2 linked regions of the Cricetulus griseus genome follow. The protein of the gene in region 2 interacts with the protein of the main gene of each other region in a biochemical or structural test. Links are inferred from orthologs where the notes say so. Each region holds a gene or a part of one and is shown on either strand. Other genes may lie near its edges. The genes, in order: Dr1 and Drap1.

Region 1 (15,426 bases), on a different chromosome or scaffold from region 2:
TCTGCAACTGGATTCCAGTTCAGATCAGTGTTTAGCTGTGGATGAGCAGACATTTTTCTTAAGGAACACAACAAAGCTTAAGACATAACTACACTGAAACTTTGTAAGGTCCAAGTAACATCTCCCATAAAGAAAATGAGCTCTGTAGATTAACTGAGGAAGCAAGCTCAAGATAAGGATCTGTGGAGCCAGTGTGCCTTCCTACACAGACAGTCAAAGGTCACCAGGCTACTCACCACATCTGTTCCCAACCTTCTGGGAGGAAAACAAGTTACACATCTCTCCCTTTGGAGAGAAAACCCTCTCTGTTTAATGTCCCTGGTTTCTGTGGTGCTTACCTGAGCACAGGGCCTACATTCCATGTACAATTTGTTCTATAAAGAAGTTGGGATAAGCAAGCCATAGGGAGTAGCCAGGAAGCAGCACCCTCCACGGCCTCTGCAGCAGCTCCTGCCTCCAGGTTCCTACTCTGCTTGAGATCCTGTCCTGACTTCCTCCAACGATGAACATGGAAGTGTGAACCAAATAAACCCTTTCAGCTCGTTTGCTTTTGGTCAGTGTCATCACAGCAGTAGTGATAGTAAGTTATTATCATTTTAACTTGGATTTTCACAATCACATATCCTCATGTGGTTATTTGGAATCTACATACATTCTCTGATGAAATATCTGGGAAAGTTCTTGGCTATTTTTAAATGTACTTATTTATTTTTATATGTTGGATAATAGTCTTTCCTCATTCTGTGGCATTTTGGGCCTTTATGGAAGTTCAGTTTTAAAAACTTATAAGTATATATCTTTGTAAGCTTCTACTGTATTATTTCCATACAACCCCTTAAATGACCCTTGGGGAAAGGGAACAAAAGGAGGTGTAGGTGTTGGCCAACTAGGGACAGAGATGGGAGGGGGAACAGGTGGAAGGCGCTTGCTTAAAGGGGAAAGCTTGCCCATTCGTACATCCTCACGCAGCCACATAACGCAGGGCCCTTTGAGCCATCTAAGTATCTGCCTGAATGCTGGTGTGCTTATCCTGCCAGGTGTCAGGGGTGGGGGTCAGCTTAATGCCAGACTATCAACACAAAGAAACAATCTTGTGGTGCATTCAGGGAGGAATGCCAGCAGACTGTCACATCAATTTGTTGAACAGTTGGATTCTCTACCTGGGCAGTGGCTTAACAGTGGCTCCTCATAGTGTGGACCCAAAGGAGCACAGTCTTGTTAAAATCATGGGTAGTATGGGTTCCTTTATGATTTGCATTTTGCAAATGACAACAGGCTCCGAGAGAAGCAGCAGCTCCTGGGTGATCCTATGACTTTTTTCCCTTCCAGCCCTCTCAGCAATTTTGTCATCTAATTCTGTCCTTCTTGAAATACAACTAGCTTCCAGTTTCTTGATAAATTACATGATTATCTCACTTTCATAGAACCAGAAAATATGCAGGCTGGAAAAATTAGAGACCAGTGCTGACCTGAGTATTAGAAGGCCACTTATTTGGCTATAGCTCTTCACCTGAACCATTCTTAGTCTGTGGGCCAGAGCACAGTAGAAAGAAAGGGTAGGGAATTGACTGGGATTTACAGCCAAAAACCTAGAGACAAAGATTCAAAAGCAAAAAAGTATCTTTGCTATTTGGATTAATTCTTTCTGATGGTCATTTGGGTTGGTTAGGTATCATTTAGAGCCCAATATGAGGAAATGGCTGTGTATTTAAAGTTAAAAAATTTAAGAAATTAAGTTACAGTTTTCTACAATTCAAAATACCATTTAAATACCTAATATTTGCTTTCCTTTTGAGAATAATATGAGTGCTTAATACTTCTATGCCAATAAGAATGCCTTAAATAATTTCAATTTCGTTTTTGTTTTTTCAAGACAGGGTTTCTCTGTAGCTTTTGGAGGCTGTTCTGGAACTCACTGTGTAGACCAGGCTGGACTCAGATCCATCTGCCTCTGCCTCCTGAGTGCTGGGATTAAAGGTGTGCGCCATCACCTCCAGTCATAATCTGCTCTGAACAGTCAATTCTCTCCCTCCACCTTCCATAGGCTCCAGGGATTGGATGTCAGCCTTTCACGGCACTTGCTTTTAACCAGCCATTTTATCAGCTGCTTTTGCTTTTTTTTTTTTTTTTTAAATAAGATGTATCCACTTTATTTTTATGTGTATTAATGTTTTGCCTGAATGTGTGTATGTATGTATGCATGCATGCATGCATGCATGCACGCATTATTTGCACCACTGGCACGCCTGGTACCCAAGGAGGTCAGGAAATCAGACCCACTGGAACAGTAGCTAATGTTGGCTGTGAACCACCGTGTGAGTGCTGGGAATGAATGGAGGTTCTCTGCCAAAGCAATCAGGGCTTTTAACTGCTGAGCTACCTCTCCAGCTCACTTTTGCTTTTATTTTCCTCTTACATGATGGTAAATAACAAAGACCTGCTTTAGAAGTATAATTCACTTATTTATAATTTAGGTATTTTGAGAAATACTCTTAGGCTGCTAAACCATTACAGGACAACTAATTACTAAAGTATACTTTAAATGGTACCTAAGTAGAAGCACTCTGCAAACCATATGACAATACATATTAAACTGAAATATGCACAAGTTGTGTTCAGTACTTCCATTCCTAGATATACTCAATGGTAGTGTACGGAAGTCACCAAAAGACAAGAATGTTCTCCACAGCACTATTTTTAATTGATTAGAATTACAAACTGGACTGCCCTAACATAAATTCTGTAAGACCTTTATTTTTTTTAAATGGAAAAATACTGTATAGCAATTTAAGAATGAAACAACTAAGCCGGGCGTTGGTGGCGCGTACGCCTTTAATCCCAGCACTCAGGAGGCAGAGGCAGGTGGATCTCTGTGAGTTCGAGACCAGCCTGGTCTACAAGAGCTAGTTCCAGGATAGGCTCCAAGGCTACAGAGAAACCCTGTCTCGAAAAGACCAAAAAAAAAAAAAAAAAGAATGAAACAACTACATCAACAATATGGGTAAATTTTTACTTTGAGAGGTTGAACAAGGACATCCCAGGTCCTCATCTCTAGAACCTTGAATATCGCTTTATCTGGGAAACAAGACTTTAAATATGTAATTAAATGACCTTGTGACTGGAAAATCACCTTGGAATATACAGAGGTAGAGGAAGACCTGACTATAAAAAGAAAACAGTGTGGTGACAAAAAACGGGCTTTTGACATGGAAGAAGGTAAAGCATAAGGAAGCCAGTAGAAGGTGGTAAGGCATCAAATCTAACCCTGAGGAAGGAACCAGTCCTGCAGACTCCGTCATTTGGGATAATGAAACTGACTAAGATTTCAGATCTGTAGGATTGTAACAGAATAAATATGTGTTGTTTTAAGTCATTAAGTACTTGTTACAGATAAAAGGTTACAATCACAAAAATGGAAAACAAAAAAGAGATTATATATGGCTGCATTCACCTAGAATTTTTTTTCAAGGCAAAAATAATTTATAGCTCTGAAAAGGAGAGGACTGTTGAGAGCCAGGCAGGGTGGTACATGTCCTTAATCCCAGCAGTTGAGGGGCAGATGCAAATAGGCCTTTTGTAAGTGCAAGTCCACCCTGGGCTATACAGTGAGGCCATGTCTAAAAAGAAAAGAAAAAGAAAGCTGTGGGGCTAGAGAGGTGGCTGCTCTCCCAGAGGGCCTGGATTTGATTCCTAGCATCCACATGGTGTCTCACAACTTTCTGTAACTGTTCTAAGGATCCAGAAACAAGTGTGACACAGACATACCTGTAGGGAAATCACCTATACAAACACATTAAAAAAGAGGGCCTGGGTGGTGGCACACACCTTTAATCCCAGCACTAGGGAGACAGAGGCAGAGAGATCTCTGTGAGTTCGAAGCCAGCCTGATCTACAAAGCCACACAGAGAAACCTTGCCTCTAAAAACCAAATAATAATAATAATAATAAAATAAAATGAAATAAAAAAGAGAGAGACAGACAGGAACAAGAACTTTGAAGGTATTCATAATGTCCTGTTCTTATCTGAAGACTATGTTTGGTTTGCAAAACTTTAATCTGTGCCCTCTCCTGTATATATGGTATACAAAGTTTTAGAAATAGGTTCCCTGTTGGCTATATGTGGTGGTACACATGTACAACCCTGAAACTTGGAAAGCAGATTGCCACTCTCAGGACAGCCAGACCTGCAGAGCAAGATCTTGTCTTAAAAAAAAAAAAAAAAAAAAGTACTTTTTAATATAACAATTTTACAGCCTGTTGGAAAAATATGTATTGTGATGGGAAAATATTTATTAAGTAACTTTATACCTCAAAAAGTAGGGATTTACCCGGGCGTTGGTGGCGCACACACTCGGGAGGCAGAGGCAGGCGGATCTCTGTGAGTTTGAGACCAGCCTGGTCTACAAAAGCTAGTTCCAGGGCAGCCTCCATAGCCACAGAGAAACCCTGTCTCGAAAAAACAAGAAAAACACAAAAACCAAAAACCAAAACAAAACAAAAAGTAGGGATTTTATTTCCTAAGACTAACCCATTCTCATGACTAGAGAAACAAATAACTCTGACTTTTAAATGCTAAAACAAGGTGCTGCTTAATGTGCTCTGTTGTGCCTCTATCTGGACACTACAAAAAGAAGGTAAACTATGTTTTCTGAAACAGCAGTAATGAGAAAGGGGTACTACATACTAAATAACCAATCAATGTCAAAAGTATCGAAAAGGGTAACAGAGACTGTCCCATAATTATTAAATACAAAAACAATTTATAAAACACATCAGAATTTTATTGCTTGGAGAATACAGCATATGAAATCACAAGAACATCAAAATGAAAAGTCACTAGGCTTCAAACACAGAATACATTACCCGATGCAGTAAAATATTAATTAACCTGAAGTCTGCATCAGAAAGAAAAAGGTATGGAAAAATACCTAAGTTGTTTACTTGAGAAACATACACTTAAAACAAAGTAAAAGAATGTTACAGTACAAATTAGAAAAGCCAACAGTGACTAACTTATTTTTGTAGACTAAACTACCTACCTACCTTTGGTACTTAACCTTTTTGAAAAAAGAAAAAAAGATTCCTTCTATTTTTTCCAAACACTTCATTTCATGGGCATATCCATGAAATACCTTGAAATAACTTCAACATAAAGCATTCAGAAAAATTACTACTCTTTTACTACCTTTTCTGTTATACTGGGGAAGTATATCTATCTGATAAATGCATAACAATATTTCCCTTTTTCTAAAACTGCAAAATATGAATATTAAGAAATCTAATACTTATAAACTTTACTTAGCTCTCCAAATAAAATTAAAATCCTGGCAGCTAGAATCTCTTGGGGCTTGGTGAATACAGAAGTTTAAATGACTTGGCAACTGACACAGGAACTTAATGACTTCCTATTACCTTAGGTGGCATTTACACAATTTCTGCAATTACATTGGAACCCTCTCACAAACACTACCATACTTTAGTCACTGAAGCCAAATTAAAGCTGCTCACTTTTAACAGCAAGTTAACACTTCATATAGGGCTGGTCAGTTATGACACTTTTTAATCAAACACAAAACTTTTAAAGCTATCACTCAATTATGATGATGGGGACAATGATGTCATATCAAAAGTTAGCACTGGGCTCTTTAGGCCACCTAGTCAAGAAAATGTAAATGTTATGCTAAAACCAAACAATAAGTAAACTACATGTTAAATAATATTTTTAAAGCCCTCTTTCATAGCAATCATATTCATTAGCTTTCATTTATTTCCCTTAGCAAAGGTCTGAATATCCATGAGCCTCAGTTAAACCAACGGAACCCAAGCAACTGTTTCACAAGTCCTACCTATATACTCAAACGACATAAACATGAATGACTGAAGCAAGTAATACTATGAACAATTTTACTGAACTGGAGTGAAATAGTAAGAATCATGACAATCTTCAAGATTAGCCAGTCTCTGAAATGGCATAGTGTAGATAAATTATACTATAATAAAACTAGTTTTTACTGATACACAAAAGAGTAACAAAATCAAAAACATAACTCATCAAATTTATACAACTACCAGTGAATACATTTCCTTCTTAGTTTTTGAATGTCTTCTTTGAGTTTTTCTCTTAGCAAGTATATTTATTTATCTGAGCATATATAATTGTTGCCTGCATATACACTCAGTTTAAAAGACAAAAACATTTAAGTACTATACAGAACTGAACTTTTTCCACCAACCTGATTCAAAGTATTCTGCCTCACACCATGCCTCATCTCAATATAAAATTCTCAGTTTTAGTTCAGTTAAAAGGGCAGAGAAGATGCAAATACAGATGAAGAGATCTGTGTAAATGTCACTGTATTTTTATAACCTGATGCTTTCTGTAATACTGTTCACTGACCAAATAAAGGGTTCACACTGCTCTTCGATTCCAGAAACACCATTACAAATTCAAAGCTGATCTTACACTGAACCTCAAATTTTCAATAGTTCAAAGAGACAGTTTTACAAGTATAGCAGAGTAGTTGAAACCTGAACAGCAGACGACTCTAGAATACCAATGGTAAGTCCACCGAGATGCATATACAGTTACAGAGAAGCACTTCTTTCACTGTTTTCTTACAGAGGAAACAAAAGCCAAGATGGTGAATTTCAGATGTCGTCATCATCTTCTTCGTCTTGAGAAGACCCTGCCTGATTGGATGCACTGGCTGAGGCTGCAGCCAGCTGGGCTTGTTGGGCGGCTTGCTGCATTTGAAGCCATTCCTGCTGAGCCAATTCTGCTTGCTGCTGTCTAGCCTAAGAATTAAAAACACAAAGAAGCAAGTGTACACATTGTGGTTAAGTGTAACTAACAGACTTATTATCAAATGTAGATATTTTCCAAGTACTCTTTAACTATGACATATCTAGAAAACAAGAACTCTTAATATTTTTAGTTCAGTTGAAGAAACTGAAAAGGTAAACAGAGGGACTGGAGAGATGGCTCAGCAGTTAAAAGCACATGCTGCTCTTCAGAGGATCTGGGTTTAATTCTTAGCACCCACATGGCAGCTCACACTATCTGTTAAAACTCCAGTTCCAAGGACTCCAACATCCTCTTCTGGACTCTGCAAGCAATGCACACATGTGCTACATAGACTTGCATGCAGGCAAAACACTCATGCACATAATATAAAAATAAATATGTATTTTTAAAAAAGGTTGATAGAGCCAGGCAGTAGAACATGCCTTTAGTCCCAGCACTTGGGAGGCACAGGCAGGCAGATGTGAGTTCAAAGCCAACCTGGTCTACAGAGAGAGTTTGAGGACAGCCAGGGCTACCAAAAAAAAAAAAAAAAAAAAAATTGCTGGGGGGGGGTAACATTAGTAACTCTTTGGCTCTTCTTGCTGTGTTTTTCTTTTCTGTCCATTCAATTATAATTTTAATATGAACATAATTATGGCTTAAAAGGTCTCCAGTACAATTAGGAAATAGCAAATACAACAGCTACCCTGATATTTTCTTCTGAGTTCCTATTATAATTCTATACCCTCATGGTGCAAAAGAAATCCCAGAGCATAAAATGTTTCTCAAATGTATGCTATACTTTTACATTTTATTGTCTTTCTTTATACTTAGTCTATTTGGAATTTCCTAATTTTCACTTACTAATATATAAATATTTAAAGTCAAACTGAAATACCATTTTCTCCTTCCTGCATGAGTCAAGGTGTTTTCAGGAGAGAGAATTAACATTAGTTCTAAGAACTAATTTAAAGAAGAAAAAAGACTGTTAACCAAACATAAAACTGATAACAAGCAACTGAAAAAGCAAAAGGACACTAAGACACTAGGAAGCAACTGAAAAAGCAAAAGGACACTAAGACACTAGGTGATGTCAACTACAAGCAGCAGTCACCAGTCTAATTTGGGAACAAAAGAAGAGTGTGGAACAATGAAAACTTGTCTAAGGAACAATCAAGTGGCACCAAACTCAGATCTCCGAAGAACAGGTATATTTGCTAAAGTATGAAAGCACAAGAGAGAATTAAATGAGCTAATATATACAAATTGCTTGGTAATATCATTAACAAATGGTTAGAACTCAGTAAATATTGGAAACATTTTTATTAGTTTAAGATTTTGTCATTTTATTTATGTATGTGTGTGGATCTGTAGGGGATAGGTGCATATGAGTACTGGCACCCTCAAAGGGCAAAGGTGTTGGATCTTCTCGGAGCCTCCCAATGTTGAGTGCTGGGAACTGAATTCAGGTCCTCTGGAAGAGCAGTATGCATTCTTAACTAGAACTCTTTCTAGCCCCTATTATTAAACAGTACTTGTATCTTGTGCTTAATGTTTAAGGCTCAAATGCAGTGACACTTGGTGGTACAATTCCTATTAAATTCAAAACCAGCTTTACAGGTTGATACCTTGCTACAAAGAAAATGTTACCAGATTTTCCTTGTATTCCACTCAATAAAATCTAGTAGCAGCTGGGTGGTGGTGGCACAAGCCTTTTAACCTCAGCACTCAGAAGGCAGAGGAAGGTGAGGCCAACCTGGTCTACAGATTGAGTTCCAGGACTACACAAAGAAACTCTGAAGAAAGAAAGAAAGAGAGAGAGAGAGGGGGGGGAGGGAGGGGAGGGAGGGAGGGAGGGAGGGAGGGAGGGAAGGAGGAAAGAAAAGAAAAGAAAAGAAAAGAAAGAAAACTGGTTGTTTTTACATGAACCAGAGTCAAACTTGTCAAGTTCTAAACATTAGACTCTGTAACAAGCAATGAGCTGGAGGAAGAATCCTCTGAAGTGACTTTTTGGTCAATTTCCAATGAAAATAATTTAAAGCATATTACTTACTTTTGCAAATAATTCCTGTTGCTGTCTCAACAATTCTTCTTCAGGAATGCCAAGGTTTTCCAAACGAGAACTGGCCTTTCTTCTTTTTAGTGCTACTGTCTTGCATTCTTGTAAGACTTCTTTTACTTCACTGATGTAAGAGCCAAAGCCCAAACTTTCTAGTGCTACAGAAATGAAAATGTGAAAGGTGAAAACTATGGCTCTCTCTCACTTAGGAAACATTTACTTTTTTGTGTTAGTTTCCTCTTGGGAGGCAGTTATTTAGTAACTACTGGGTGGTTAAGACAAGATATTTTTAATCAACCATTATTCTTTAAGTTTTACTTTTGCTCTCCAACCCCATGCTCATCTATAGCATGAAAGCTAATGGAACATTTCAAGGCACAGGCCTTAATTTTTCCCTCTTTAATTTTTTGTTTTGTTTTTCGAGACAGGGTTTCTCTGTGTAGCTTTGGAGCCTATCCTGGCACTCACTCTGGAGACCAGGCTGGCCTCGGAACTCAGAGATCCCACTCCTCTGCCTCCCGAGTGCTGGGATTAAAGGCGTGTGCCACCAACGCCCGGCTAAAATGATTTTTTTTTAATGCTAGTAGAAATTGAACCCAGAGCCTCTTGCTTGTTAGGCAAGTTCACCACGCCCACCGCCCGAGGCTTTTGTTTTCTCCCACTGACCCACACTTGCTTACTGAATATTACCAAGCATTTAGCATTGTGCTAGAAACTGGTTAGATTAGAGAAATAGACAATTCTCAGTCCTGAAGTGTTTCCTAGTTTTCTGGGAGTACTATGCCATGCTTGTCATGCTTGTCAGGGGTCTTCATGCCCGTCCAGTGAGGCAAGAATCTACTTTGACCTATATTATCTTGCTGAATTTTAAGTGAAAAATGTGACATTCTTCCCGCCTACAAATACGGAACTGGAGAATAAAGATTTGTATGTTGTTTTTAACCCAAAATGTATTGGTTAGGCTGATCCTTACCCAGGTTAACTGAGGTACCTGCTTTTAGTGCTGCTGCTTCCTGAAACAGCCCCTTTTGTCAGCCTTCTTTTCTGCCTCCCGCAGGCTGACAGAGAGACCAGTGGAGCAGCCAGCACATGAGAAAGACTGGTGTACTCTGGGCATTTCATATCTGTGAAGTAGGCGCTGGGGCTCTGCAACAGCTGGTTTTTGTTGTTTTGTTTCCTCTGGTCTTCTAGAGAGGAATGAAAATCTTTGGCCAGAAGCATGTTCCTGCAGGGAGGCCATCACTGCTGGGAAGGCTGATTTGTGTACTTTAAAGGGACCTGCACATTTTTTCTTCTTGAATCTCAATAGCCCAGACACCTACTTCAGCCTCCTCAGCATAGGGACACTCGTGTATTACCACACTCTCTGTTGGTATACTGGAGGAAAGAAAAACTTAACTATTCTTTCATCCTATCTTTCTGTAACTTAATGAATATGTATGTGTTCCTAGACTACTTTTTTGTAATGGGACAAACTATGTCATTAACCAGTAAATTCCAAATATTTGCCCTTTTTTGTATTCTTTAAGAAACTGACAGACTTATAGCCGGGCGTTGGTGGCACACGCCTTTAAACCCAGCACTCGGGAGGCAGAGGCAGGCGGATCTCTGTGAGTTCGAGGCCAGCCTGGTCTCCAGAGTGAGTGCCATGATAGGCTCTAAAGCTACACAGAGAAACCCTGTCTCGAAAAACCAAAAAATCCTGCTGTAAAAAGCAACCAATCATGTAATAGTTTACAATGCAAATTTCAAATATTGGTATTATTTAGGTAACACAGCATGTACCATTCTTATTTTCTGTAACTTCTTTGCAAATCACTCAGTTTCTCTGATTTCAAAAGTTACTTCATATCCACTTTCCAAATACATTACAGTTTAGGCTTTAGAACAAAGCTACTCAAAGTACTGTTCAAGTACTTGTGCCAGAGTTTGTTACAATGGTTGTTGTTTGTAACAGTTAAGAGTGGAAATCTGGCCTGGTGTTGGTGGTGCACGCCTTTAATCCCAGCACTTGGGAGGCAGAGGCAGGTGAATCTCTGTGAGTTCGAGGCCAGCCTGGTCTCCAGAGCAAGTGTCAGGATAGGCTCCAAGCTACACAGAGAAACCCTGTCTCGAAACCCCCCCCCCAAAAAAAAAAGTGGAAATCTGGAGATTGGAAAGATAGCTCAGGTTAAGAGCACCGACTGTCCTTCCAAAGGACCTGGGTTCAATTCCCAGCACCCACACGGTGCTTCACCACCACCTGTAACTCCAGTTCTAGAGGATCCAATACCCTCCTTGGTGGGCAATGCACAGTCACACAGGCAAGAAAAACATTCACATACAAGAAAATAAAACTATTTTAAAAAGCACTAGGGACTTCAAGTTAATTAATATTTTACTGCATCTGGTAATGTATTCTGTGTTTGAAGCCTAGTGACTTTTCATTTTGATGTTCTTGTGATTTCATATGCTGTATTCTCCAAGCAATAAAATTCTGATGTATTTTATAAAATAAATAAATTTCAATTAAAAAAAAAAAGCACTAGGGAGGCAAAGGCATGCTGATCTCCGAGTTCAAGATCAGCACAGTCTATACAGAGAAATCCTGTCTCGAAAAAACCAAAGCCAAAACCGGACAAAAAAAAACATCCTTAAGACATATATGAAATTACAAATGCATAAAATTTATACTAATTGGGGGAAAACTATAGAAATTCTTACATAATTTTTTTTTTTTGAGACAGGGTTTCTTTGTGTAGTCCTGACTGGTCTGGAACTCTGTAGACCAGGTTGGCTTCACAGAGATCCACCTGCCTCAAGGCGTAAGCCACCACCACCACCTGGCTGCATTGGGTGTTTTGCCTGTGTGTGGGGTCCCCTAGAACTGGAGTTGCAGACACTTATGAGCCATCATGTGGGTGCTGGGAATTATATCCGAGTCCTCTGAAGAGCAGTCAATGGTCTTAACTGCTGAGTCCTCTCTCCAGCCCCTCTTACATACTTAATGGCAACACTACAAGAAAAAGGTAAATTTTAAGTGCCAACAGGTCAATTCAGTTTTTTAACATCAGTAGATCGCCATCATCACAGCAAATAGCCATCCACTGTTAGCTTTCTGAGTCATGTACTAAACTGAAGTTAGCATATTCCAAAGTTGAACTATTAGCACATCACTTGCTACAGCTATACTTTTATTCAATCAGAGCTCTAACTATATCCTAGGAAACAAAAATGAACCTTCCCCCAAGAAGACAGATTGTTATTAGATTTTTGGAACAATCATCACTTTCGTGGTACCAACAAATGTTTAGGCAGATCCTACTGAAATCCTTTGCAGTTTTCATTAAAAAGTGATGTCTTTTCCTTTAAGAATTTTAGCTATTTGTTAGATAATCTTCTCAAAGATTTAGGACAACAATCATATATATAAAACGTAAAAATAAAAACAGATAACAGGCTTCCATTTTTCTTACCACTCAGCAAACCAAACCAAACCAGTAAGGGGGGGGGGGGGCAGTTTCGAGATTCAAAATGGTGGGTTGGGAACACAGCTCTGTAGTACAGTGCTTGTCTAGCATATTTAAGGCCCTAAATTTAACATACACACAAATAATCAAATAAGCAGCAGGGAATGGTGATCTCAGCATGCCCATAATCTCAGTGTTCAAGAGACTGAGGGAAGAGGACCTTGCATACAGATCTAGGCTAGCCTACACAGTAAGATCCTGTTAGCATCCTGCTTCTAACCCTGAAAAAACAAAAACAAAACAAAACAAAAAACAACAAAACCAAACATTGCTTTTTTAAGGGGTTACCTACAATGTACTGAAATGGCAGAGTACACGTGTATGTAATACAATTATTTATATACATATACATGTGTATATGTACATACACACATCTTGTGGCTCTACTCCTTACTAGGATTGACTTCTGGCATGATAAGTATTCAGCCTTAAGAGACAACTTAAACACAGCAGGGTGTACTTTAAATCTACCTTCAGCACAGGATAAAGGCTCAAAATTAATCATTTGATCTTTGTCAATTCTGACAGTGGAAAAATGGATATGGTCAATCTGAAGTGGACAGATGTGCTGTCCACTTCACCTTAACAGGAAATTGAAAGTAAAAAAAATTTAAAGTTAAATTATAAAAGGGCAATGATAAACTACCTGCATTGTTTGATTAAATTTGTTTTCTTAACTTCAGAAGTAAACACGAAATGTTAGATTATTACAAAATAGAAGTTATTGTCTCAAACTGAATTTGACTTTCTGTTAGATTGCATGAAAAGCCACAGAGAGCACTTCCTCCAAAATTGCTAAAAGTACTTTTCCCCTTCTCTGCAACCATCAAAATGCAGACTCCCAAATCCCTACTGCAAACTTTTTCCAAGATAAGGAAGAAACTGCTGAAACTTTCAGAAGTGCTGACTAGCATGTGTCAGGCCCTGGGTTCAAGGCCCAGTACTGGCTGGGCGGGGCGGGGAGTGCCGGCATCTTTTGCAAAACTTTCAAAACAAGCTTTCAAACATTTTCAAAGAACAAAACAATCAAAAGTCAGAGGGAGTCAAAAAGAAAAAAATGTGGCACTTGCCTTTCTATTACAGGAGTACTTTGGTAACCTGGTGATGATGGATTTACCATGTTTTTTTTAAGAAGCAAAATTAGACTCCCTTTTTGGAAGGCAATAAACTTTAATTCCTTTTTATTTCTTTAAATTCAGTGCTGGCAATCAAACCCAGGACCTGTTCGTGCTAGGTAAACGAGACGCCACTGATCTGTGTTCCACATGAATCTTTCCCTCCACTATGGTAAAAAGGGTCAGGTGCGGAAAAGCGCTCTCTCTCTGGCTCAACTCATGCTTGAAGGTCTATCTAAAATTTAACTTGCTGGGAGAGAACTTTCTGTTTCCTTTCTCGATTGTTACCATCCACGTTTTACTTGTTGCGTTAAGACCTTACTACAACCTGCACTAGTTGGTACTGAGGACGTTTGCATTCCTCATTTGCAATACTAGCTGGATGAAAAAGTGTCCCAAGAATGCCACACGGGTATTTTCTTAAGGTGACAAGCTGTCTCTGTGCCATTTGTGACTTTTCCATTAACAGTACTTACTCGTGAAATGGAATAAGGGCTCTGTGACGCCAAGTGGCTACCTACTGTTAGCGAAGTTGTTGCCTGGGACCTTCGCTCAAGCCGAGCCCCACACCAATGGTTTACCTTGTATGACGTGCTCCGGCGAAATCGTTTTCTTTTCCGACTTGTTGCAAATCTCGTTGGCTTCCGAGGATATAAGGTGAATGAATTCAGTGCAGCAGTTCACGACCAGTTCTCGGGCGTCGTTGGCCACCCGGACGTTAGGGAGAGTCTCTTTGATCATCTTATTTATAGCAGCTCTGGGGATAGTGAGGTCATCGTCGTTGCCAGACGAGGAAGCCATCGTACCTTCCTGGCTTTTCGAGCCCCAACTTTTTAAAACTCCTCGACTCTGGAAGGCTGCGGCTCCGGGAGGGGTGTCGGGGTCGGGGAGCTCGGGAGAGAGGGCGTGGAAACGAGGAAGGACGGGTCGCAGGGCCGGGAATGCCCACGGCGCGCGTGCCTCAGTGCGAGCCTGCGCGACAGGTCAGGGCGCCCGGGGCTGGACGGAGAGCCACCCTCCGTGGGGCCTCGGGACCGACGCTGGGGTCCGACGGGGCGGCTCACACGACACCCAGCAGGCCCGGCCCTACAGAGCCGGAGCCCCCGCGGCCGCCGCCACCAGCAGCGGTTGCCGCCGCCTCGGCCGAACCATCCTCCGGGCCCCCGCCCGCGCCCGCCTCACAACATGTCTGCCGAGGCCGCGGCTGGGAGCGCCGGCGGCCCGGGACGAGAGCGGACGGCGCCGGAAGCCGCCCGAGTCGCGGCAACGGCGGGCGCGACCGCCTGGGCCGGAGCGGGCCGAGGAAGCCCCAGCGGCGCTAACGGTGGTCTCGATACAGGCCGGTGAGGGAGGCTGGCCGCAAGCGGTCCCAGCACGCTCTGCGCCACCGGAAGTCGCGCTCCCCGGGTCCCACCCTCACTCCTGACCCGTTTCCGTGTGTACTCCCCTCCCTGCCCCCGCACCGCGGCGGGCAGGAACCGCGGGTCCTAGCGGCCCGCCGCTTCCTTCCGCCTGTCGCTGCGCACGCCCCGCGGTCTGTCCCGGCCGGCGTTTCCTCAGGTGGGCCCTAGGGGAGCTCGCTCCTCGGCGGAGGCCACGTGGCGGAGCAGCCCCGGCCGTTACGAAGAACTTCCTTTTCCTACTTCCTTAGCTGTCAGGATGAGGGCGCCGAGAGAAGGGAGGCTAGCGTGGGCTCTGGATGCGACCTGGGGAGCGAGGCCCCGTGTGTGGCTGCAGGAAAGGCTTCTGTACTAGCTAACCGCGGCCAGGTTAGAGCTCCCTGTCCTCGTTTATGGGAAAAATGAAACCTTCAAACAAGTGGCTCTGCCTAGTCTAGAAACCGATAGTCAGACCCAATGTGCTGAAAAATGTTTGGCCGACTTTTGGAAGGAAGAGAAAAACAAAATTGGATTATCTCAAGCAACTCCGATATTTGTTTCCTTCCAGGGTGGTTATTAA
Region 2 (16,085 bases):
AGGGGGATATGAAGAAATGTCTTCTCATCCCAGATAGAGAAGCAATGACAGGCCAAAGTATGGTACCAGTACGGGTAAGGGATTACTTACTAGAGCAGAAACGAGTCAAAACCAGCTGTGCTAAGAAAGGCCACCCCAGCATGGGAAGCCACTCACGAAAGCTGGGATCCTGGAGCTCACTGCACAGCCTGCAGGCAGTGCACAGGCTGAAAACTGCTCCTTTCAGGTAACTCAGGTGCTTTCAGACAGGGTCTCACTGTGAAGCCCTGTCTGGCCTGGAAGCTGTTGTAGGCCAGGCTGGCCTAGAACTCATAGATTGATGTGCCTCTGCCTCTGGGGTGCTGGTTAAAGGCAGGCACCACCACACCAGACAAAAATGTAATTCTTAACCAGAAGGAAAATCATCTGTCCCTAAAACAATCCCAGAGAGTAGCACTCTCCACAAAACAATTCTTCCAAGTCCCTGTCAAAGCCTCCATTGGGGGCTGGTGAGATGGCTCCATAGATAAAGGCACTGGCAGACAAGCCTGATGACTCAGACTCCATCCCAGGAACCCACAGGGTAACAGAGAGATCTGAGTCTCTCAAATTGTCCTGATCTCCACACCTGTGCATGCTGCCCTCCCCCCACAAATAAATAAGGAAAAACAAAAACAAAAACAAAAAAAACCCCAACATCTCAGTTATCCTTCCAGGTCTTGATAAGCTGACCTTAAAATTCATATTGAAACTCAAAGGACAGGATACCCAGGATATAGCCAAACAGTCTTGAAACAAAAACATATGGGTGTGGGGGTGGTGGCTGGAGAGATGGCTCAGAAATTAAGAGCACTGGCTACTCTCCCAGAGATCCTGAGTTCAATTTCAAGCAATCACATGGTGGCTCACAGCCATCTGTAATGAAATCTGGTGTCCTCTTGTGTGTGCAGGCATGCATGCAGATAGAGCATGCTTATACATTAAATACATCTTTTTTAAAAATATCAGGTGACATATTTTACATTTTCTGATCTGAAAGTTTTGGTAAAAGCTTCAGTCAGCCCAGCAGTGCCTTTTTTTTTTTTTTTTTTTTTTTTTTTGGTTTTTCGAGACAGGGTTTCTCTGGAGTCTGTCCTGGAACTAGCTCTTGTAGACCAGGCTAGTCTCGAACTCACAGAGATCCGACTGCCTCTGCTTCCCGAGTGCTGGGATTAAAGGCTTGCGCCACCAATGCCCTGCTCCAGTAGTGCCTTTAATCCCAGAATTCAGGAGGCAGAGGCAGACGGATCAAGGCCAGCCTGCCTGATCTACAGAACAGAGTTCCAGGGCAGCCAGGGCTACAAAGAGTAACCCTGTCTCAAAAAAAAAAAAAAAGCTTCCGTAGTCAGACAGCATGGAACTAGCATAAGGACAAACCTTAAAGAAAAACAACACAAAGATCAACACAATAGAAAGAAGGGCACAGCAGTAAGATCCCTTAGCCTGGTATGGTGAGGCACACCTGTAATGTCATCACTCAGGAAGTGGGCAGGAACATCAGAAGTTCAATATCACCCTTGGCTACATAGTAAGTTTGAAGCCAACCTGAGCTATGAGAAGACACTGTCTCAAAAAAAAAAAAAAAAAAAGGGGGTGGGGTGGGGTGGAGAGGGAGACTGGAGGGATGGCTCAGTGATTAGAAGCAGTGTCTGCCTTTGAAAGGTCCTGGGTTTGGTTCCCAGCACAGGAGGGCTCACAACCTTCTGTAACTCGAGTTCCAGAGGATCCAGAGCCCTCTCTGACCTCTGAAGCCCAGACATGCAGGCAAAACACTCATACACATAAAAAATAAATATAATTAATTAGGTTAATTAGATATAGAATAACCATGTGTCTTAGTTACTGTTCTATTGCCATGAAGAGACACCATGACCAAGGCGATTTATAAAAGAAGGCATTTGGTTGGGCGTTGGTGGCGCATGCCTTTAATCCCAGCACTCGGGAGGCAGAGGCAGGTGGATCTCTGTGAGTTCGAGGCCAGCCTGGTCTCCAGAGCGAGTGCCAGGATAGGCTCCAAAGCTACAAAGAGAAACCCTGTCTCGAAAAACCAAAAACAAACAAACAAACAAACAAAACAAACAAAAACAAGAAGGCATTTAACTGGGGGCTTGCTCACAGTTTCAGAGAGTTAGCATGGCCATCATGGCAGGGACTGCAGCAGGAGGCAAGTAGGACTGGTGTTAGAGTATCTGAGAACTTACATCCTGATCCTCAAGCAGAGAGGAGAGAGAGAGAGAGAGAGAGAGAGAGAGAGAGAGAGAGAGAGAGAGAGAGAGAGAGAGAGAGTGCTGGCGAGACTGGGCCTGGTGTGGGACCCCCAAGTGACAACACCTGCTCCAACAAGACCATACCTCCTAATCATTCCTAAAGAGTCCACCAACTGGTAACTAAATCATTAAAATCTATGAGCCTGTGGGGGTTATTGTCATTCAAACCACCACACCGTGTTATCTAGCTATTTCACTTAGCATGCAAATGTAGCAAAAGAACAAAAGCAGAGACTCTACCCACACAATGTTCAGAGTAGCTTTATTCACAACAGCAAAAGGTGGGGGCAGGCAGAGGTCAGCAGGGCTCTGAGGAGGCCAGCTTAGTCAACATAGCAAGTTCCAGGCCAGGCAGTGCTACATAGTTTAATTATTTGTTTTTTTGAAGTGTGGTGTACATAAAAGACAAGTCTAAGAAATCAGGAAGGAAAGCAAATCCAATACTGGACACCAAGTTAGATAGTGGCTAAGGTAGAACCTGTGGCTGGAAGCAAGGACCACTGCCTCAGCCCCGGGAACTGGCACCTGGGCCCTTCACCAACAGTTTCCTTGAGTCCCTAGGACAAAGGATGGACTTGGGAGGTCTCTCTCTCTCTCACTCCAGTCCTCGAGACTCTTCTTGCCCAGTACTTGACACCAGACACCAGATGTTAAGCTCTGCTCCTCAGTCCTGTCAAAGCCATCTGTCATACAAGCAGGACAGTCTCCTGATTCACCTCTAGGAACAGGAGCTGGGCAGGTACACCAAGTAGGTGCTCAGCAAATACACTGAGTGACTGAAAGAAGGCAACACTGAGCACCCTGCCTGTATAGGAGGGTATGTTTAACTCATTCTAAAAGGTCACAAAATAAGGCAGGATGGTGGTGGCACACACCTTTAATCTCAGCACCCAGTAAGCAGAGGCAGGAAGATCTCCGAGTTGGAGGCCAGCCTGTCCTGAGTTACAGGACAGCCAGGGCTATGTAGAGAGACCCTGTCTCTGAAAACCAACCCAACCCAAACCAAACAGAATAAATCATTTTTAACTCATTCTAAAGGACAATAGGCTGGAGAGAGCGCAGCAGATAAAGCACTGGCTGCTCTATCAGAGGACAGAGGACCCATGTTTGATTCCCAGCACCCACATGGCAGTTCACTACCAAGTGACCCACAGGCACACATGCAGATAAAGCACATTAATTTTAACTTTTAAATGACGGTGATGTCTTGGGGGTTGGACTAAATGGGCTAACAGAACCCTGAAAACTGAATTTCCTCTTCCCTGCCTCCCAGAGTATCCCTCATGCTTTTCTGATCTGGTTCCAGGCACTGATGTCCATGCACGGGTACACTAATCACCTGTTGCAAGCACAAAATGCCTGACAAGAGTAGTTTGGGGTTTGTTTTTGCTCACAGTTTTGGGGCACAGTGTAACAGGACTGGGGAGTCATGGTGGCAGGAGTGTTAGGTGGCTGGTCACATTGCAGCCACAGTCGGCAGAGATGGATGCTGATGCTCAATTGGCTTCCCCATTTTACTAAGTTCAGTACCTCAACCACGGGTTGGTGCTGTCCACATTTCCAGTGGGTCTTCCACCTCAACCTAATCTAAGATATGCTCATGTTTGTTTCCATGGTGACCTAAATTCCACCAAGTTGACAGTCAAGATTAACTGTCACACCATGGGTGACACACACTATGTGCTGTGCCAGGTTCCATGACAGGAACTTCAGGTGTCAAATTGCATACATCCCTAAAGGAGAAGCTCTTACTATCCGAACTTTAAAGACAGAAATACTCCCACTGCTGGCCCCAGACTTCCCTTCACCCGTTACTCTCAGCAGCCCATCTACCCTTTCTAGTTTTGTTTCATTTGGTTTGGTTTTTTCAGTCAGGGTTTCTCTGCTTTGGCACTTGTCCTGGAACTCGGCTCTGGAGACCAGACTGACCTGGAACTCACAGAGATCTGCCTGCCTCTGCCTCCCGAGTGCTGAGATTAAAGGTGTGCACCACCAGCGCCCAGCCAGTCCCTGAACTTTTTTGAATAGCCTCTTAGTTTATAGCCCAGCCAGGCTGCCTCAAAATTGTATAGCCCAGTGGCCTTGAACTTGGGATTCTCCTGTCTCTGTCCAAGGGCAAGTGTTATAGGCATGTGCTGCCATCCCTGGCCTCTTAATTTTTATTTGTTAAAACCTTATTTTTTAAAAAAGATTTTATTTGTTATGTATACAACATTCTGCTTCCATATATATCTGCACACCAGAAGAGGGCACCAGATCTCATAACAGATGGTTGTAAGCCACCATGTGTTTGCTGGGAATTGAACTCAGGCTCTCTGGAAGAGCAGTCGGCGCTCCTAACCGCTGAGCTATCTCTCCAGCCCTGTTAAAACCTTATTTAAATGCATTACATCACCCAATGTATGTGTTTTGCTTTTTTGCTTTCCATGATCTATAAAAGGTTTATCTGTTGTAACAAAGACTCATGTTTTTGAGGTGAGGTCTCACTATGTGACTCTAGCTGGTCTCATACTTGCTGTGTAAACCAGGCTGGCCTTGCACTCATAGAGATCCTCTTGCCTCCTGAGTGCTGGGATTGAAGGTGTGGGCCACCAACACCCAGCCCCGTCCTCCATCTTTTTCACTGTTGTTTTTTTTTTTTTTTTGACACACACACACACACGCACGCACGCACGCACGCGCGCATGGCAATGGAGTAGATGAGCAGCTACCAACTCCTTGGATGGCTTTTACTTGACAGGCTCTTGCGGTCTCTCCCTCTTCTAACTCCACTCCCTCCTGCTAGGCATGGCCTGTGCTATGGTGTCCCATTTGTTTGCCTCCATCTGCAGCTAAAACACACACACCTTACAATCCCCATGCTACCCGGAGAATTCTTTCAGGCATAGATGGTAAGGAGTGGGAGGAAGCCCTGGCTCATGTGACTAGGAAATGCAGGCACACCAGGCACCAGTGTCCTCAGGGTTCAGTGCCCACACGTGTCTCTCAACCGCTGGAGTGGGCAGGTTACCAGCATCACCAGCTCAGGTGTGCTGACGATCAACGCCAACCCTACAGCAGTCACTGTGGCCCAATTGTGGCACCGACTCACCAGGATGTTCTATGTCTATTCAATTGTGGGGCCAGCTGCCCACACCTCAGGTTGGGGTGGAGCAGTCACAGGAGCACCCTTACAGGTCTGTCTCCAGCATCCAACCATTGCTATGTCTCAAGTCCTAAACCCTGCCCTAGCCTGTGGTCTTCTCTCACACAGCACAGGTGACTGCATCCTGCCTCACAGTCTCCATTAAGCTACTGCTCCTCAATGCTCACTTCAAACCCCCTCCCTATCCTCTCTCCCCCATGTTCTGATGTCCCCCTCCTGTCCCGTGCCCCATACTCTCTGAATATCTAAGATTCTGTCATTTTAAAATCTTTTCTTTTCTTTTTTTTTTTTTTTGCAGTGCCAGGGCTTTGTGAGTGTTAGGCAAGTGCCTCTCATCCTATCCAAACCTTTTGCCATCTTAAAAAGAAGGGGGCTGGAGACATGGCTCAGCATGCTCTTCCAAACAACCAGGGTTCACCAGGACCCACAAAGTGGCTGACAACCATATGTAACTAGTTCCAGGGGATTCAAAGCCCTCTTCTGTCCTCTGTTCATGCAGGCATTAAGTTACCCATACACATAGTACACATTTTACATTCCTGTAGTCCTTCCTCAGCCCCAGCATGGCTTCAGCTCCCTCCCCCTCAGTAACTACTGAAGCAGACATTAAGAATCCTCTTTGGGGATTCTTCCTTGCCCAAAGCATCTGACAACTGTCCTTTCCCTTCTACCAGACCATCGGGACAGCTCAGGGTGTGGCAGCTCCTGTGTCTTGCCTTCCCTTCCAAGTTCATATACCTGTCTCTGGGTGCCCATGTCAACATCACCAATCCACACTTCCTTCAGTGACCTCCAGAGCACCCCAAATTCATCATGGCCAAACTTGAGATCTTGTCTTTTCCTCCTGTGTCCCTCAGCTGAAAAAGTCCCTCCCTTGCCAAAGAGCTAAAGAAAGCTAGAAGAGGTACTTACAGAAACTCTCCCTTAGACCTCTGAAGCCTGCCTTCAAGCCTAAGGTCACACAGGCCTGGGCCTCCCCAGCCACCACCATCCTCATCCACACACCTAGCATGTCCCCAAGGTTCCCTCAACACCCCCATTAGGAGGAAGCCAGTGAGCTTGTTAGCAGATGGACCTACAATCTCCCTCGAGGTTTTTTTTTGGGGGGTTCAGGAACCCCACATGGCCATGTCCCCTGCTTTACTCATGATTGCAGCTTCTTGAAGCTACACCTCTTGCCTTTGGCACTGAGGCTGCCCAGCCTACTCAAACACAGGTAGGCAGACTGCCTGGCTCCAAAGCTGCTTCCCAGTCCCCCTGCTATCTCATCTACCCGACTCTTCACTGTGCTGAGCCCTTCACTGCACTGGTTGCAGAGCTCTATAGTTTTCAAGGCCCAATCTCAGTACTGATCCCATCTATCCTCTCTCAGCAGCCCAGAGAAGGCTGCCCAAGGCTCCACAGCACAATGAAAGGTTAACCTTTAGCACTTCCAGCATGTGGCCGCTCAGTCCCTAGACCACCTTCCTTTCTTCAGTGCTCCTGGTAGTACCCAGACTCCCCACTTTTTACTCAGGTACTGGTTGGCCCACTGTTGTCCCTGGCTGCCCCATGTGGGGAGGTAAGTAGGTTGGCAGTAAGAATGCAGCCACGAATCCCTGGACAAGGACGGAAAAGAAACCAAAATCCTCTTTCTTTTCTTTCTTTCTTTTTTTTAATAAATTTAATCTTCTCCCCAGAGCAACTAATACTAACTAAAAGGGGTATGTGGCCTGGGGTCAGGGGCAGTGAATGCTAGGAGTCATAGTCCTCTTCATCCTCTGCATCAGGTGCTGAGGGGCCAGGGGGCGCTGGGGGCAAAGGCAGAGGAGAGGTGAAGGGCATGAAGGGGGCTGGAGGGCTGCAGGGCAGAAAATGGAGAAAATCAGGGCATGCTACTGTGCCGTGCTGTGCCCAACCCACAGGCCCTGCCACCATGCTCCAGAACCAGATGTGGTATAAATCACCCATTATGTCACAGGAGCCAAGTGTTGTCCCCCCCAACACACACAGGAGAAAAGGGCCCAGAGAATAGCACTGTCCAGGTTTTCTTCCCAACTACAGTGGGAACAAGACCTCACAACATTCCCACTCCCTAAGTGAGCCTCCACCATCAATCATCACTACTACCACCACCAAGTGGCTAGGGAAGTGAAAATTGGCTCTGGGAAGTTTGGCATGTCCCCTTCTGGTGTCCCTGGGCTGAATACCTCTGAAAGGGGGCAGGGGGGTGACTGGCTTGGGGTGGAGGCTGTGGTGTCTCTTCTTCTCCATCAGTATCAGTGTCCTCGGACTCTTCCTGTGAGCACAGCAAGGGGTCAGGGTTCATGAGAGAAGGCCTGGGCCCATGGTTGGGGAGCCCAGACCCTAGGAGCGCAGGGATAGATAGGCCTTCAAAATGTATACATGGAGACAGAGGTACAAAAGGTCATAGATAAGGATAGGTGCAGGCTGCCTTTCCCGACCAAGCTGGCCTCACTCACCTCCTGTTCTGAGTCTGTCCCAGACAGCTTCTTGTCTTTGGCTTTACTTCCGGTGCCTCCATTCTTCCTGCCACTGCTGCCTGGTTTCCGGCCCCTTCGGGAAGGTGCAGTCCATCTGCCCAGAGGACTCTCTCCTCCTGTTCACCCCCCTGCCACCCCCAACCCTCGAGGCCTTGGCCTTTCCCACCTATATACCTGGTCTTGGCTACCCACCTTCGAGGACCCTTGTCCCCATCCATGTGGTTGTCTTCGCCATCCCCTTGCATGTCAGGCACGGATGCCACCAAGTCTTTCAAGAAGTCAAACTGCTGCTCCAGCTCAATGCACTGCTTCCTGGAAGAAGTGAGAAAGAAAGGCGTTCAAAGGGGTCCCAAACACTTCCGGAAGGACAGAAACAGCCTTTTCTTGTCATGACACTGGAAAATGATAAACTCCCCTCCCCACTTCCACCCGGCCTCGAGGGCTTGGCTCTCGTTATTCCCTCCACCTGGAACACCTAATCCCTCCTACATCAGTCCAAACCCACCAAACTGGCTCAAACTCACTCAGCCTTGCACCACTCCCCAGTCAGGACACTGCCTCCTCATAAGCCCTTCCCAGCTCTGCGGCCACTGGCCACTCACAGGTGGGACGTGGTCATGGTTTTGGCATTTCGAGACTGGGTCACCTGGCAAGCCTTCTTCAACAGGGACTCCAGGAAGAGTTCGAGCGCCCGCGCTGAGGGGCGTCAAGGAGAACCCGAGAAGCGGAGTGCCGAAGTCCCGCCCGACGCCCCTCAGCCCAGCCAGCCCCCTAGCAGGATACAGATGATGACAGGCACTGCAGCCGCCACCTTCCCAATCTCTTCGTCCGTCTGCATGATCTTCTTGATCCGCGCCTGCCGAAGGAAGGGGGCAGAGCTCGGACGCGGCCGCCGGCGTCCCTGCAGGAGGCTGGGGGCAGCAAAGGGGCACCCCGAGAGAAGGGGGCGGGAGGCACCACGCCAGGCGAGCACGGAGGGGGCGGGGCTTCAGGCCGCGAACACCTAAGGGCACCCGCACCCCCACCCCCAGCAGGACCTGGGCCCGAGCCTCCCGGGAGCCCGGCCCGCTGAGGCCCGGCCCAGCCACGTGCTCACCGGCGGAAACCGCGCGTTGTACTTCTTCTTCTTGCTTGGCATCTCGGGGCCTCTCTCGCCGCGCCGGGCCCAGCGCCGCCGCCCGCAGCCTACCGGCTCGGGGCCTGTTCGCCGCCGGCCCGCCGCGGTCCCCTCGGGTCCTGCTGCCGCCTGCTCCGCCCCCGCCGCTACCCGCAGGGTCCTAGCGCCGCCCGTCGAAAAGCAGCTCCCCAGACCCAGGCGCTCCGCTTTTGGAGCCTCGGAGGCGGAGCGCGTCCTTCTCAGGGCTCGCCCGCCACGCCCACCCGCCCCCAAGCTAGAAGTACGAACGTTGGCCCCGCCCCCTGCAGGCCGGCTCCTCCCAGGGGTCTCGCGCTGGCCACGCCCCTGACGCAGCCCGCCCCTTTTCATGGAGCCCCGCCCCCACGCGGCTGGTTCCGCCTCTGGCCCCGCCCCGTGACTGCGTTTGTCTATAAAGTTGTTGTTGAGGTGGCGGGACCCTAAGATGGCGGCGGCGGCGGCGGCCGTGGCAGGGGCGGGGCGCGGCGCGGGTGGCGGCGCGGACCCCGGGCAGGAACGGAGCCGGGCCCGAAGTTGGGTTGGTGCGGAACGGAGCGAAGGCCGAAGGTGACTGCGGGGCGGCGAGAGGGACAGCCCCGGGGTGGGGGCAACCCGTAGGCTGTGGGCACTAATGGCGGCGGGTGTGGTAGGACTGAGCCTGGCCCTCCCGCGGGCTCCATCCAGATGAGGTTCGAGTCTGGGTGGCGCCCATTGACCGCAGTGGGCCGCTGTCCTGCCCTCTCTAGGCCTCAGTGTCTCGGTCTTTAAATGGGCCCCAAATAGATGACCGAGGAGGCCTGGCCCTCCACAGCCACCTTTTAGGGTTGGCAAACAAACCTGCGTTTTGCCTATATTGCTTAAATCGCAGAGCCATGCTACCTGCTGGTCTCTAGTCAAGAGGTGTGGCAGAGTAGCCAATTCACACTTCAGCTGTTCACTCACTATAGGTGTGACCTTTTTTCTCTATAAAGTTTCAGTTTCCTTGTTTGTAAGCAGTGCAAGTAGTACTAACAATAGCGACTCCACCTCAGGCATTTTATTCTAGGAGACAAATCTAGGCAGGATCAGTTGTTATCCCATCGTGAACGTGAAGCAACTGAGGCACAGATATTAAGTCTTGCCCAAGGCCACACAGTTTAGCAGTGCCTGGCACCCTCCAGGACCCAGCACTTTGTACCTACTTTCTCAAACCTCCAATGACTCAGTTCCCTCACAACAGGATGGAACCAAATGAGGAGTTGGAAGAGGAGGACTCTCCCGGTGGCCGTGAGGATGGCTTCACTGCTGAGCACCTGGCTGCAGAGGCCATGGCAGCCGACATGGACCCCTGGCTGGTATTTGATGCCCGTACTACACCTGCCTCAGAGCTGGATGCCTGGTTGGCCAAGTACCCACCATCTCAAGTTACTCGCTATGGGGACCCGGGTTCACCCAACTCTGAACCTGTGGGTTGGATTGCAGCCTATGGGCAGGGTTACACCCCCAACTCAGGGGATGTTCAAGGGCTGCAGGCAGCCTGGGAGGCTCTGCAGACCAGTGGGCGGCCCATCACGCCAGGTACCCTGCGCCAGCTGGCTATCACCCACCATGTGCTCTCTGGCAAGTGGCTGATTCACTTGGCACCTGGCTTCAAGCTGGACCATGCCTGGGCTGGCATTGCCAGGGCTGTAGTTGAGGGCCGTCTTCAGGTGGCCAAGGTGAGCCCACGGGCCAAGGAGGGTGGGCGCCAGGTCATCTGTGTTTACACGGACGACTTCACGGACCGCTTGGGAGTGCTGGAGGCAGATTCTGCCATCCGTGCTGCGGGCATTAAGTGCTTGCTCACTTACAAACCTGATGTCTACACCTACCTGGGCATCTACCGAGCCAACCGCTGGCACCTTTGCCCCACTCTCTATGAGAGCCGTTTCCAGCTTGGAGGCAATGCCCGTGGCTCTCGAGTGCTGGACCGTGCCAACAATGTAGAACTGACCTAGTGGGGCCACATGGGAGAGAACAACTTTTGCTCTCCTGCTGGGGATGGATCCTTCTTTCTTCTCTTCCTTGTCCCAAGAAGGCCAAACTCCCTAGCTCTGAGGACTGATTGATTTGGGAACTGCCTGTACTCGGTCCCTTTGAACTTCTCTCTGTGCCGGGTTGACTCCAGCCCCCACAGGCTGGGGGCTTTGGCTCCCTGAGGGCCGGGCCCTCAGCCGCCCTCTTTGATGCTGCTCCCCGCCACTGCCCAGGACCACAGCTTGGGTGCAGATGCTCAAGAAAGCCTGCCCTGGTCACCTCTGTCCCCTACTATACTCAACCTGCATCTTCCTTTTCTTTCCTCCTTCATAAGGGAGAAAACTTAGTGCTTCCAGTCCCTGCCCTTGGTGATATTGTAGCCCAGGTGGCAGGGCCCCTACAGGACTGAGCATGCTGTTGGGGCCTATATATGTCTGGCCAAGAGAGGATGCAGGGTCATGGACATAGGGCCTGCTCCTCCCTGCAAACTCATAGCCCGCATCACCAACATCCCCTCCCTGACTACCTTGACGTGTGCCTGCTCCTGGCATTTCAATAAAACCCAGCTTGGGTCTGTGTCTTGAGGTTTTTTTTTTTTTAATACTGTCCTGATGGTTGCCTGCTTTGGCTCCCAGGAAAGGCAGGGCCAGAAGAGGCAAGTGTCTCTGACCTGACCAGGCTTTCTTTGTCTTCCTCCCTCAGCAATGAAGATGGTGTGTTTCACTGCTGAGGCGGTTTCATTTCTGAGAACCTCTACAAAGCTGATCTCCTGTAACCCATGGATCAGAACTAGTTTTGTAGGTCTTTCCAGGAAGGCGCAAGGGGGCTACTCTTTGACCTTTGTATTTGTTTTAGACTTTTAAGTTTTATTGAGGTGGGGGTCTTACTATGTAGTCCTGGCTGGTCTGGAACTCACTGTGTAGACCAAACTGGCCTCTGACTCAGAAATCCATTTGTCTCTGCCTCCCAAAGTGCAGGGTTTAAAGGCCTGTATCCCCAACTTTTAGGTTTTTAAAAAATTATGTTCGCGGTGGCACATGCCTTTAATCCCATCACTGGGGAGCCAGAGACTGGTGGATCTCTTGAATTCAACGCCAGCCTGGTCTGCATATTGAGTTCCAGGACAGCCTGGGCTACATAACAGACTCTGTCTTTAAAAAACAAACAAAAAAAGGTTCATAGCCTTTATTCCCAGCACTTGGGAGGCAGAGGCAGGTAGATCTCTTTGAGCTCAGGGGAGCAGGGACAGGGTTAAGAGGCTGGGGACTTTTCTAGGCACTTAAGAGCACTGATTACTCTTCCAGAGGACAGTACATTTAATTTCCCAGCATTCTCGTAATGGCTAGTAACATCTCCAACTACAGTTCCAGGGATAAGATGCCCTCTTCTGGTCTCTGCAGACACTGCACACATGGTACAGAGACATACATACAGGCAAAACACCCACCCATACACAAAAATGAATCTTTACAAACTATTAAAACCGATAAAATATAAATTTACTTTTTGGGTGGATGTAGAGACTAGTTTGTCCCATGTACACATTTGGAGGTCAGAGAACAACTTGGAGAAGTCAGTTCTTAACAGTGTGGGTCCCAAGGATTCAACTCTGGTCAGGCAAGTACCTTTATCTAGTAAGCTATCTCAGTTGTTTTGTTTTTTGTTTTTTTTTCCTCGAGTCAAGGCTTCTGTGAGTAGCTTTGTATACCAGGCTGGCCTTGAACTCACAGAGATCTGCCTGCCTCTGCCTCTGGAGTGCTGGGATTAAAGGTTTGTGCCACCACCGCCCTGCTATCTTTTTGTTTTTAAAAACAGGGTTTCATTATATGGCTCTGGCTGGCCTGGAATTGGCTGTGTAGACCAATCTGGCCTTGGACTCAATTGCTGCTGCTGCCTCCCATGTTCTTGGTTTAAAGGCATGTTCGTCTTGAATTTATGATCCTCTACCTACACTGGAGTGTTGGGATTACAAGTGTGCACCATCACACCCAGTTTAGTGCTACCCAGGTTTCTGCAGTGACCAAGATTAAACCTGGGATTTAGTGCCTGCTAAACATTCTGCCAACTGAGCTACATCCACAGTCCCTCTGTCCCACAGACTTGGCATTTTTGGAACAGTATAGCACAATCTGGTCTCACAGTTGTGCTCTTCCTGCCACAGCTTCTTGAGTGCTAGGATTACAGGTCTGAACCACCATGTGCATGCTTCAGGACTTAAAAACACTCTCTCAGTTCTGCAGTTCCAGGCTAGTCACAGTTTTGTAAGCAGAGATGGGCTGGATTTCAGGCCCCTGGGCTGGAATAGCCTAAATGTCCATGGTTACAAAGCACCTACCTCCACATGCATCACTCAGTTCTCATGACCTCATTAAGGAGATGCTGACCCCATCCTGCTGTCAAGGAATTACCACCAGGTGTGGTGGACAACTTTAATCCCAGGACCCAGGAGGCAGAGGCAGGCAGATCTCTGGGAGTTAGAGGCCAGCTTGGTGTTACATAGCAAGTTCCAAACAACTGGAGCTACAAGACTTATCAAAAAAAGGGAGGGGGGTTGAGACCAAGAAGAGAAAGTATAATGCAGGGTGATTCAGTGAGTGAGCAGAGCTGGGACTTGCCTCAGATCCCTCCCTCATCCTCAGTCAGAGTGTGGTTCTTGACCCAGAGAGACACCTTCACAACCCACAGAGCATGGACACACATGATCTGACCATCCTCTTCTGCACAGCTGTGTAGCCTCAGGGGCCTGGCTTCTGCATCACCCTGTCTCCCCAAACCAGTGCCTGGCCTGGCCTTAGTTGGGGCTTAGGAGTGTTGGCAGAGAGCCCCTTGAGATGTTGCTCTCGTGCCATGCCAGCGCTGACTCAGCCTGCAGCAGCCTCATCAAGTTGGAATTTGGAGCAGAGGAGCGGAGATGCCACTGGGCTGACTGGGTGGAAGTGGCTGAGTCATGAGACATTGGCTTAACCCCCCTCCCCAGCTTCCTCCCTACCCTGAGTTTCCCCAGTACTGAATCCACCTCAGCCCAAATCTGGGAAGTCCCCAGAGCTCAGAGTCAGAGCCAGGTGCCCTGCCTGCCTGATTGTCTATGCTTTGCACTTGACAAAAGTGGGCCAACTTTCCCTAGGCAGGGGTGTGTCATCCCAGCAAAGTCTTGTGTTCTCACCACATGGTAAGGACAGCCCAGGTTTTCTTCCCGAACAAAGCGTGACACATCCCTCCTCTATCTCTTTGGCTCTGCCTGGCCCCTTGCCCTTCCTCAGTATCTCCCAAACTATGACAACGGCCACTAACTTGGCTCCTCCACCCCACATCTCCTTCTCTGTCCCCACCCCCAGCCAGATCCACAGATCCCTCTGTAGAGATGCTCACATTCCTACTGAAAGGCCTGTGGTTCTCTACAGCAACGAGGAACAAGGTCTGCTCTCCTGAGCTGGCATGGGCCAGGTCCTCAGCAGCTGTCTCAGCAGTCCTTCGGCACATCTGTCTCCACTCACTGAAGCCAACTGGCACATCCTCCATCACCTTTGCAAGAGCATGGGGCCTCAGGCCTTCCTTCTGTCTGAACACAGAACCATCAGTTACTTAGCAATCACCTGGTTGTTAGCTGTCCCCTGCTGATCCCCAAACCACAGACCCAGACTAAGGCAGGGCGGTGTCAACATTTCAGCTTCCAGCCCAGAATAACCCTCTTCAGAGATTATTAAATGAAAGAAGCAATTGCCTCAGAACCAGCTCATGCAAATCCCTCCTGTTTTCATTTTTGCTTTAGAATATGGATATGGCTTTTTTCCCCCACATTCTGGCCTTTCTCACTTTGGTGCATTTGTTGATGGATAGCCTCTAATCGCATGCCTGATACCAATTCTCCTAGCTAATGGTACATCTCAAACCCACTAGCTCCCCAACCGTGTTCTACTTGTGGCTCTCATCTGTCTGGGAACTCTCAAGGACAGTGACTGTGGTTTATCCTCAGGGCATCTTCAGCACCCAACTCAGAGTCAAGCCTGGTGCAAGCAACAAATAATGTTCTTTGGGGGTTGGGGAGTTTAGGATAGGATTTCTTTTTTTTTTTTTTGTTTTTTCGACAGGGTTTCTTTTTTTTTTTTATTAGTTCTAGTTAGGGAACAAGCTTATTTCAAGTCCCTTCTCCCTCTCCCTCCCCTCACCCCCAACCCTCCTCCCCCACCCCAACCCCCCACCCCATCCACCCACCACTCCCCAGGCAGGGTAGGGCCCTCAATGGGGGCTCTGCAAAGTCCACCAAATCTTCTTGTGCTGGTCCTGGGCCCTTCCCCATGTGTCCAGGACCAGAGTGTAACCCTTCACGTGGGATGAACTCTCAAAGTCCCTTCTTGCACCAGGGAAAAATACTAATCCATCATCAGAGGCTCCCTGGAGTGCAGAGGCCTCCTTATTGACATCCATGTTCAGGGGTCAGGATCAGTCTTGTACTGGTCTCCCTGACAGCATCTGGGGTCCATGTGCTCTCCCTTGTTCAGGTCAACTGTTCCTGTGGGTTTCTTCTTCATTCCTCCCTCAACAGGGTTTCTCTGTGGCTTTGGAGGCTGTCCTGGAACTAGCTCTTGTAGACCAGGTTGGACTCGAACTCACAGAGATCCTCCTGCCTCTGCCTCCCGAGTGCCGAGTGCTGGGATTAAAGGCGTGCGCCACCGCCGCCCGGCAAGATTTCTCTGTGTAGCCCTGGCTGTCACTTTGTAGACCAGGCTGGCCTCGAATTCAGAGATCCTCCTGCCTCTGCCTCCCAAGTGCTGGGACTAAAAGTGCGCACCTCCACATTCAGCTCAAATAATGTTCTTGAATACTGGGTGGTTGCATGAAAGCCATCCTCTGTTTGCAGTCCTCAACTTCCTTACACTCTGGTCCTTCCTTGTTAAGAGCCAGACACTGTGTTCAACATTTGCCTACATTGTCTCATCTAAGCTCCACTTAGTTCTTTTATCTTAAAAATAATTTTATGTGTATGGGTGTTGTTCCTGTGTGTATGTCTGTGTGCCTGCCATATATGTTCGTGGCACCAAGGT

The links.
Region 1: the proteins of Drap1 (region 2) and Dr1 form a complex in vitro, tested with the Homo sapiens proteins (2 studies listed by BioGRID). The link is inferred for Cricetulus griseus from reciprocal best matches to the Homo sapiens genes DRAP1 and DR1.

Annotation. Positions count from the first base shown.
Region 1 is NC_048600.1:2,986,614-3,002,039, reverse strand, and holds Dr1 (protein Dr1), read right to left. Parts: upstream 14,833-15,426; 5' UTR 14,269-14,832; coding exon 14,049-14,268; intron 9,002-14,048; coding exon 8,838-9,001; intron 6,796-8,837; coding exon 6,649-6,795; 3' UTR 4,856-6,648; downstream 1-4,855. UniProt on the Homo sapiens protein: The association of the DR1/DRAP1 heterodimer with TBP results in a functional repression of both activated and basal transcription of class II genes.
Region 2 is NC_048596.1:53,907,909-53,923,993, reverse strand, and holds Drap1 (dr1-associated corepressor), read right to left. Parts: upstream 9,258-16,085; 5' UTR 9,052-9,257; coding exon 9,010-9,051; intron 8,770-9,009; coding exon 8,697-8,769; intron 8,610-8,696; coding exon 8,516-8,609; intron 8,226-8,515; coding exon 8,088-8,225; intron 8,008-8,087; coding exon 7,893-8,007; intron 7,709-7,892; coding exon 7,620-7,708; intron 7,271-7,619; coding exon 7,165-7,270; 3' UTR 7,060-7,164; downstream 1-7,059. Other genes in the region: CUNH11orf68 (UPF0696 protein C11orf68 homolog), read left to right, coding at 9,494-9,615, 10,268-11,024. UniProt on the Homo sapiens protein: The association of the DR1/DRAP1 heterodimer with TBP results in a functional repression of both activated and basal transcription of class II genes.